2 linked regions of the Xenopus tropicalis genome follow. The protein of the gene in region 1 binds, or shares a complex with, the protein of each later gene. Links are inferred from orthologs where the notes say so. Each region holds a gene or a part of one and is shown in the gene's direction. Other genes may lie near its edges. The genes, in order: cnnm3 and ptp4a2.

Region 1 (4,522 bases):
CTCCAGATTGAGGGGTTTCGTGTTCAAGGGGTAGCTTACCTTTAAATTAACTTTTAGTGTGACAGTGTAGACAGTGGTTATCTGAGGTCATTTGCAATTGGTCATCTTTTTGTTCAGCAACAGTTTAGCATTTCAGCTATCTGGTTGCTAGGGCCGATTTACCTTGACAATTGGAAAATGAATAGAAAAGGGGAAAAAAATAGAAAGAACAATACTCTAAATCAATTAAAAAAAAAAAAAAATATGGGACATTGTGAATTGTCCAACCTACTGAAAGTTAAAGGTGAACTGTCCTGTTTAAGATTTAGGGGGCTGTGCGCTACCTGTAACAGTGTAACTGAATGCGCATGAGAGAAGGCAAGCACTAGGCCTAACTGTTTGAGAGCAAGGTGAACATGATTGGCCAACAAGCAATCAGTGAATATTGTCATTTATTTTACAATAAATTTCCTGTCCTGCAGAAGAAGGGCTCCTGAAAGAGGCATAAGGGGAACTAAGACTTACATACTACTATGAATTTTTCATTAAATTTACAAATGTTCCTTGTTTTAGTAAGCTGTAGTTTATTACATATAACTATTGAGAGAGTTCCCCTTTAATGTACTAAGATTTCACAATTTTTTTTTTTTGTATGGATACCCATGTTCCCTTTGTACTTGTATCCTCTCAACCATAGGCGTATTGGCCTTATCTAATGACCTGCTGTTGCTTGAAGGAAAAAAGTGAACAAAGAACTTCTAGTATTGCACAAGTATTCAGTCTCGGTTCCTGGGAATTCCTGTCGTAAACACACATCCCCTCTGATTGCCGTGCAGGTTCCAACAAGTTAAACTTGCATTTTTTGGATGAAACTGACCTCCTTTTTACCTGCTCTATCTTTTTTTTGGTTTCCATAAAAGACCTTTTGCCTGCTAAATAAGTGCTGAATACAGTATCTGCACAAGCCATAGATGTGTTTTGCTTTAGGGTCAGCAGCAGCTGCTGTGTGTAGGGTGGCAGGCTGGGCCCTCCTAATCAGGGATTGGGAAATAACACTCTGTACTATTGGGGGGGGGGGGGGGGGGGGCTTTCTGCACAAATAAGGGAATTGTTTGCAAATATTTATTTATTTTTGGTTTTTCCCTTTTTTTTTTTTGCCTTTTACAGATGGAAAGAATGGTACGATTTTTGGATGGCTGTATATTCTAAATTGTTTAATTATTAAAGAGTTTATTATTTAATGGGTTTGTGTGCTTTTTGACATTTACATTGGAGAAGCCCTCTATTGCCCCCCCCCCCTTAATTTCCCAACAACAGCAAAGAAACTCCCTGGGGCAGCCCTGCTCCCCCACTGTGGCCGTGTGATTGGGCGCTCGACTTCTGCTCTCTGTCACCCATTGCTGACAAACAAAACGTTCCTTGCTTGGAATGCCCATGCACCCAGTTATGGCAGCTGAGCAGGGCTGTCCTGGGGGAATTATGGTGCTTATGGGGTTTGTTGTTAGGCTACTAAATGGGGCCCCTGGTTAAAGTATGAGATTCAGCCATTGCTTTATATAGAACAGTGTAGGAAATGGTTTATCAGTGCATGTGAAAGGTATGTTATATTAAGATTTTGTATTGATCTTTATATAGACTTCAACCTTATGCAGGCTCATATGCTCCTTATAGGATTAGCTTCTGGAGGTGAGAGAGGCAGTGAAATCTGAGATTTAGGGTGTATTCGTGAGCAGACATGAGAAACTACAACACCCATAATGCTAAAGGTTTAGTAGGAGTACGGTGGGAGGGGCTGACGTTCACTGTAAGCTATCGTATTACTGTGCCTAAGAGGGACAGGTCACAGTGCCCGAGGGGCCCAGTTCCTGAGGAGAAGTGGAGCCGTTGAACGCCGCAGAACTAACAAAAGATTTAAATCTTCCACAGCTTTTTGTCCTTGTTTACAGTTGCTTACAGTGTAGCTCCGCCCTCTGCCGCACCTCCTCCATTTTATAGGCTCGACTTATTCACCGAGCTTCTCACTGGCTGAGCGAATGCGGCGGCGTTCACCTGATTGGTTGAGCTGTCAAAGGCACAGAAGAGGCTGTTCTGCCTCTTCCAACATGGCGGTAGCCGTGGTTGGGTTGCTGCTTCTGGCCGGGTTCGGTGACACCGGGGTGGCTTTTGCGCTTGAAGATGGCAGCGTTGAAGCCCAGGTGTTAGGGCTACGGCTGGAGGAGGGAGCTGGCGTGTCAATGAGCGGCGGGCTGATCAGAGCTCGCCCTGGTTCGTCCTTCCGCCTCCGTCTTTATGGATCGGGGCTGCGAAATGACACCTGGCCCTGGGTCTCCATTGGCAGCCCCGGAAGCAAGACATGTTCTCCAGAGCCAGACTCGCCCCTCCAACTGCTGGAAGAGTTCCGAGTGTGCAGCGAGCACTCTGGCCTGGTCACTGTCCGGGCTCTCAATGAGAGTAAGGGCAGAGGCCTCCTGTACCCCCTCTGTACCCGCCAAGGAAACAGCTGGGCTCCATTCCCCGGCGGAGACACACTCATTACCGTGCTGGGGGGCGATGAGGAGGAAGAGAAGCCCCCCTGGCCAGGAGATGAACAACAGTGTACTTTGGGCTCCCTCAGTTCCCGCCTGCTTAGTTTTAGGGATGAAACTCCCTCTGTAGCACCCCCTGAGACTAATGCAAGGCAGTATTTGGCTTCCTGGCTCCTGGCTCTTCTTATTGTCCTGTGTATCCTTTTCTCTGGCTTGCTCAGGGGGCTGCAGCTCAGCACTCTGGCCCTAGAACCCTCAGAGCTTGGCCTGTTGCGGGATTGGGGAACCCCCAGTGAAAGACATGGGGCCACTCGGTTGGACCCCCTGCGGACGCGCTGGGGTGGGTACACACTGATCTCCATGTTGGCCCTTTGCTGCCTTACTAACTCAGCTGTGGCTGTTCTTCTTTACCATGCTATAGGTTCAATCCCTGCAGCTATTTTCTCAGCAGCTGGACTGCTTTTATTGGCTGGTGAGGCGCTACCAGCTGCAGTAAGTTCTCGCTGGGGGCTCATTCTAGCACCCAAGTGCCTGTGGCTTACCCATTTTTTCATGTTCCTCGCTGGGCTCCTCTCATTCCCTCTGTCATGGCTTCTGGAGGCAGCATTTGGGCAGGATCCTAGCTGCTGCCGACAAAGAGTCCGTATATTGGAAATGGCCCGATGTGGGGACCCTTACAGTGAATTAGTAAGAGATGAATTCAGCAAGGGGGCCCTGAGGAATCGGACAGTAGAGGACATACTGACCCCTGTGGTTGAATGCTTTATGCTTCCCAGTGATGCCTTGTTAGACTTCAACACCATGTCCAGCATCATGGAGAGTGGCTATACCCGCATCCCAGTATATGAAAACGAGCGCTCCAACATCGTGGATATCCTCTATGCCAAGGACCTGGCTTTTGTGGACCCACAAGACTGCACTCCACTGAACTACATCACTCGCTTTTACAGCCACCCTGTCCACTTTGTGTTTAGCGACACCAAACTGGACGCTGTGCTGGAGGAGTTCAAGAAGGGTGAGGGGTTGTGGTATGCAAGAGTCGTATGAGAATGTGAGCAAGCCTGTGTGTCCTCTCTAGGTTCTTCACTCATAACAAGGGTACAGATATATTAATAAACTGTAAAAATTAGGATAGCTAGGATATCAAGTAAGTGTTTAGCCTAAATGTCACCCTGAGTGGCCTTTACACTGGCCACTCCTTTGAGGGACATCTTAAATATGACAATAGCATCCCATATATTGTATTCAGCGAATTTAATGCAAGTATAATTGTATAACGTTTGCCTATGTAGCTTGGGCAAAATATATATATATTGTCTGTATTTTTTTGTCACTGTGTTTTAAATGCCACCTGGTAATTCTGCCTCTGTGACTTGGTTTCATAGGCAAGTCCCACATGGCCATTGTACAGAAAGTGAATAACGAGGGAGAAGGAGATCCGTTCTATGAAGTTATGGGGCTGGTAACCCTCGAAGATGTCATAGAAGAGATCATAAAATCAGAAATTTTGGACGAGTCTGAAGACTGCAGTAAGGAGATTCCTATTTATCTGATTAGACATTTATACCGATATTAAATATAGGAATTGTTTATAGCTGCGCTTGAGAACAGAGCTCGGTACTTTTTTAAACTGGGAGTTGATTGTAGGTCAGACATGCTGTTATAATGTAGATCATATTAGATGTCATCATGACCCACCTATGCTGATATTTGTTGCACCTTTAATTCTTCCACAGAGCGCAAAGTCAAGAAGAAGCGTCAGCCAGTGCAGCCAATACTAATACCCCGTGGTGGGGAAGAGCTGTCCTTCTTCAGAACTGCAGAGGCCGAACAGAAGGTTAAGATTTCCCCCCAGCTTCTGCTGGCAACACAGCGCTTCCTGACTCAGGGTTAGTTTCATCTGTGGCCACCTCTTATATTTGATGAGTGAATGCTGAAAATCACTTGAATATGCCATAATATAGACTAAAGTAGCAATTGCTCTGACCCTGACCCCTAGTGCTCCCATTTATATAGAT
Region 2 (4,331 bases), on another chromosome or scaffold:
CATACTTTTGCCACACACATATGTGTGTGTGTGGCAACTTTTTTCAATAAATCAACTAGTGTAATGTTTTTAACTCATTTGTTTAAATGGGTACTTAGTATCAAGTTTTAGGTGGGGAAAAACAGATCATGTTTTTGATCAAATGAATGCAGGAATATTGGAAATTCAAAAAGGTTCACAAATTTTCCAGCACCATTGTATTAGACCAGTAATCCCTAACCATTGGCTTATAAGCAACATGTTGCTTACCAACCCCTTGGATGTTTCCCAAACAAGTTATTTTTGAATTTCTGACTTGGTGGCAAGTTTTGTTTGAATAAAAACAAGGTTTACTACAGGTATGGGACCTGTTATCCAGAATGCTCGGGACCTGGGGTATTCCGGATAAGAGGTCTTTCAGTAATTCGGATCTCCTACCTTTAAGTCTACTTAAAAAAAATATTTAAACAGTAATTAAATCCAATAGGATTGTTTTGGCTTCAATAAGGATTTATTATATCTTAGTTGGGATCAATTACAAGGTAGTGTTTTATTATTACAGAGAAAAAGGAAACCATTTTTTAAAATGTGAATTATTTGATTATTGAGTCTATGGGAGATGGCCTTTCCGTAATTCAGAACTTTCTGGATAATTGGTTTCTGGATAATTCAAGTTGTCAGTGTTTCCCTTATGACTGCAAAATTGGTATCATGTTTGGTTGTTTGACATATGCGTGTGGCCACCAGGCATAGGCTGAACTAATTTGTGCCCGAAAAATAGCAGCCAATCAGTATGAAGCAAACATCTTATTGGTTGCTATGGGTTACTGCTCTTGGGCATACTTTTTTTGCTTTTTATTATATATATGTTCCATGTGCACAATTTAATGTATCGTCATCATTTATTTATATAGTGCCAGCAAGTTATGCAGCGCTTTACATTAACTTTTCAGAATGAGTACACAGAAAAAATAGCTTCTAAATTACCAGTGTAAGTTTGATATTTTAAAAAAATTAAATAAAGCTGAATTTGCAAAGTAAGCCTTCTTAACCTACAAATACTAATTTGCAGTGTTCTTCTGTCTCAAAGGTTTCCTCTTGGAGTGGACGTGGCATATTTATGGCGATTCGGCGCATAAGAACAGAATACTGCCAGGCTCAGCACGGCTTTGGCGCGGACAAGTGAGCTGAAAAGTCTGCCTCTTTGAGCCCACCCTCCAATCATCAGCCTTTTGCCAGCTGCAGTAAAGCATATGGGAGTTACTATTTATTTTCATACCTTGAGACCATCTTGCTTTTGCAAATTAATTTTTCCTTTTGTGAAGGGAAGACTTTTACAAAGTGGGGACTAAGTGCGGAGGCCATCTCTGCAGTTATTTTTTCTTTTCCAAATGAGTGCCTCCTTGCCATAAAGACCATTGGTCCATTTTTTTTTTTTTAATTTCTTTTTCATTTCCCTTCCATAAGTTATGTAAGAAAATTCCATTGGATGCTGTACTGCATCCCTCACAAAGTGCTTGATTGCATTAAAACCATCGCTGGGACTTTTGCAATAAGTCTTTTTTTTTTTTTTCTTCCTGCAAAAAAATTTTTTTTTTTCTTTATAGAAATTTTTAATATTTTTTGCTGTGAATTTTTCAGGATTTTTTCCCAAGAAATATCCTTATTTTTTTAATCTGATCAAAATGAACCGTCCAGCTCCAGTAGAAATCTCTCATGAGTGCATGCGTTTTCTTATTACCCATAATCCAACCAATGCCACACTCAACAAGTTCACAGAGGTAAGAATCTACATGCAGTATCGTCTAGGCAGTTGGCTATACCAATGAACTCAAGCAGTTCTAATACAAACCACAGAAAAAATGTTTTGTTTTCATTATTCAGTGAGGTATTCCATTCAGGAAGGATTTTTTTCCTCAATTGACCCTGCATTAGTAGATGGGTCTATATTGATTTACTGGAATTTGTGGCTAATGGTAACCGCTACTATAATACTTAAAGGGATGGTTCACCTTTAATTTAACTTTTAGCATGTCTTAGAATGAACAATTCTAAGCAACTTTACACCTGGTCTTTATTATTTGTTTCTTATGGTTTTTGAATTATTAGCCTTTTTCTTTAAAAACTCTGTAGTTTTGAAGAGGGGGTCACTGACCCCGACAGCCAAAAACTATTGCTCTGTGAGGCTACAGTTTTATTGTTATTGTTACTTTTTATAACTTTTTTCTATTAAGTCCCTCTCCTATTCATATATCAGTCTCTTATTCAAGCCACTCCCTGGTTGCTAAGGAGAACAACTCCTATAAAATATGATTCCCAAAAAATTGTGAAAAAAATATGCCGTTAGTTACCACATATTGCAAATAGTGATGAGTGAATAAACGTAAAAACTGCGCCATAAGGAAGAGGTGAAGGGGGTCTAGGCAATGATAGTTAAGGGGGCTTTTTCCACCCAATGGTATAGTTCTCCTTTAACCTGTTTCATACGTTAATTGTACCTGCAGCAGTGCACCTCCCAAGAAGCATTGTTCTTTAGAAGTACAACAGGTATAGGGTCTCTTACCTCAGAAAGCTTGAATTATGAAAATGTAGTTATTTGAGCAGAAAATTCAATATCTTTTCCTCCTTTTTACTGTTTTATTACCCTTTCTCTTTAGTAATAATACAGTACCTCGTATTTGATGGTAACTAAGCTGCATGAATCCATATTGATGGAAAAGCAATCCTATTGGGCTTATTAAAATGTTTAAAAGTTTTTTTTTGTAGGCTTATGGTATGGAAATACCTTTGGAAAAATCCCACGTCTTTGCAGGTGCAAAGTTTTAATCATCACAACCTAAAAATAATGTTATCAGAATGCCCCATGTGCAAATATCCCATTTTGTTTTTCATGTTTTAGGTTGATTTTATTTTATCACTTTTTTGTTTGCAGAAAAGTGCACTTCAGCAAGACAGTAATTGCTTTTAAAGTGCATTGTATTTTTGTGTTCCTTTAATGTTTTATAGCTTGGGTTTTAATTACTCAAATGTAATCTTCACCATGTTTTTCATATTGCAGGAGCTAAAGAAATATGGAGTTACCACCCTTGTGAGAGTATGCGATGCAACATATGATAAAGCACCGGTAGAAAAGGAAGGGATACAGGTTTTAGTAAGTATACTACTAGCCTACTGACTTACTCCGGTGAGGAGCTTAAGTTGAATTTTGTATTCATTTGTTTAATTGAAGTTTATCAGTGCCACATGTCTGTGGTACCCTGTGAAATGAAGAATATGGCTCGCCCTGTGTGAATTTCAAAATTAAATATAAATAAATATGTTTGTGTCTTAGATAAACTGATTGCAATGCAGGATTCTGCTGGAGAAGCTCTATTAACTTGTTAATGTTTTCTCATGACAGTATTGCAGTAAGACTTATATCAAATGAGGGGCAGCCTCTGAGAAAATGCAGGCAGAGAAAAGTCTATTCACTCCACTCCGTCTCTACAATGACAGGCCTGTTTGCAGACACGTGGAGCAGATATCTGTGCGAAAACACAAAACTATGTGTGTTTACATGATATCCACTCCCTTTGTCTGTACACAGTCCAATGCTGTCTATCGGTGAGAGACACTGAGCAGAGGGGAGCACGTGGGCACTACCTGGAGAGAGTGCAGGCAGAGAGAAGTTGACTCTGCACTTCATGTGACATTAGCCTATGGGCGATGACACACGGGATAATTTGTCTCCGCGCAATGTCATCCCACCGGCTGGAATGTAAATCGGTGGTGGGATGGCATACGTGGCGCCGCAACAACGGAGACTTGTCACGGCTCAACTAATTTGTACCCCTGCCTTAAGGCTTCTGAGCTAGTGGCCCAGAGATGAATTAAATATGAATATATATGTGGTGTTTCCAGTCCAGCAGGGACTGATGTAAATTATGTATAACCTGTGTAAATTGCTGTGTAATATGTCACCGCTAAATAAAGTATTATAATAATAATTATATAACATTAACATATGCCAATCTCCCTTTTGCTCTTTGCAAAATTTTTCTGCTCCACTGACAGAGCCCAGCTTTATAAGCTTCCTTCTTACTTCAAGTTGTCAGTGATCAGACACTGATTTAATGCATTCACTCACCTTGTGGAAAATATACTGGAGCATTAGCTCTAATCAGATTGCCAAATGTAAGAACATGTTTACTTATATTTAGTTAATATCCCCTTTAACATATTCAGTTCAAGTCTTTTTGCAAGTATCAATTTAAAGGAATTTTATGGCTACTATAACAGCATTGTGAATGTATATATTACACTTGTGTGGATATTTTTGTAGGTTTGTGAAAGCAAGCCTTTAATTAGTGCCT

What was found.
Region 2: the proteins of cnnm3 (region 1) and ptp4a2 are in contact, whole or in part, in a crystal structure (PDB 5K25), measured with the Homo sapiens proteins. The link is inferred for Xenopus tropicalis from reciprocal best matches to the Homo sapiens genes CNNM3 and PTP4A2. Residues at the interface, in NP_060093.3 of Homo sapiens: Leu390, His391, Phe392, Val393, Phe394, Asp396, Thr397, Glu405, Ala414, Gln417, Val419, Glu424, Gly425, Asp426, Pro427, Phe428, Tyr429; in NP_001356788.1 of Homo sapiens: Met1, Asn2, Arg3, Pro4, Asp69, Gly70, Cys101, Ala103, Leu105, Gly106, Arg107, Arg134, Arg135, Gly136, Ala137, Phe138, Asn139, Lys141, Gln142.

The regions. Positions count from the first base shown.
Region 1 is NC_030679.2:125,259,727-125,264,248, forward strand, and holds the start of cnnm3 (metal transporter CNNM3), read left to right. Parts: upstream 1-1,417; 5' UTR 1,418-2,012; coding exon 2,013-3,519; intron 3,520-3,889; coding exon 3,890-4,033; intron 4,034-4,240; coding exon 4,241-4,393; intron 4,394-4,522. UniProt on the Homo sapiens protein: Probable metal transporter.
Region 2 is NC_030678.2:86,676,324-86,680,654, forward strand, and holds the start of ptp4a2 (protein tyrosine phosphatase type IVA 2), read left to right. Parts: upstream 1-1,314; 5' UTR 1,315-1,664; coding exon 1,665-1,760; intron 1,761-3,037; coding exon 3,038-3,130; intron 3,131-4,331.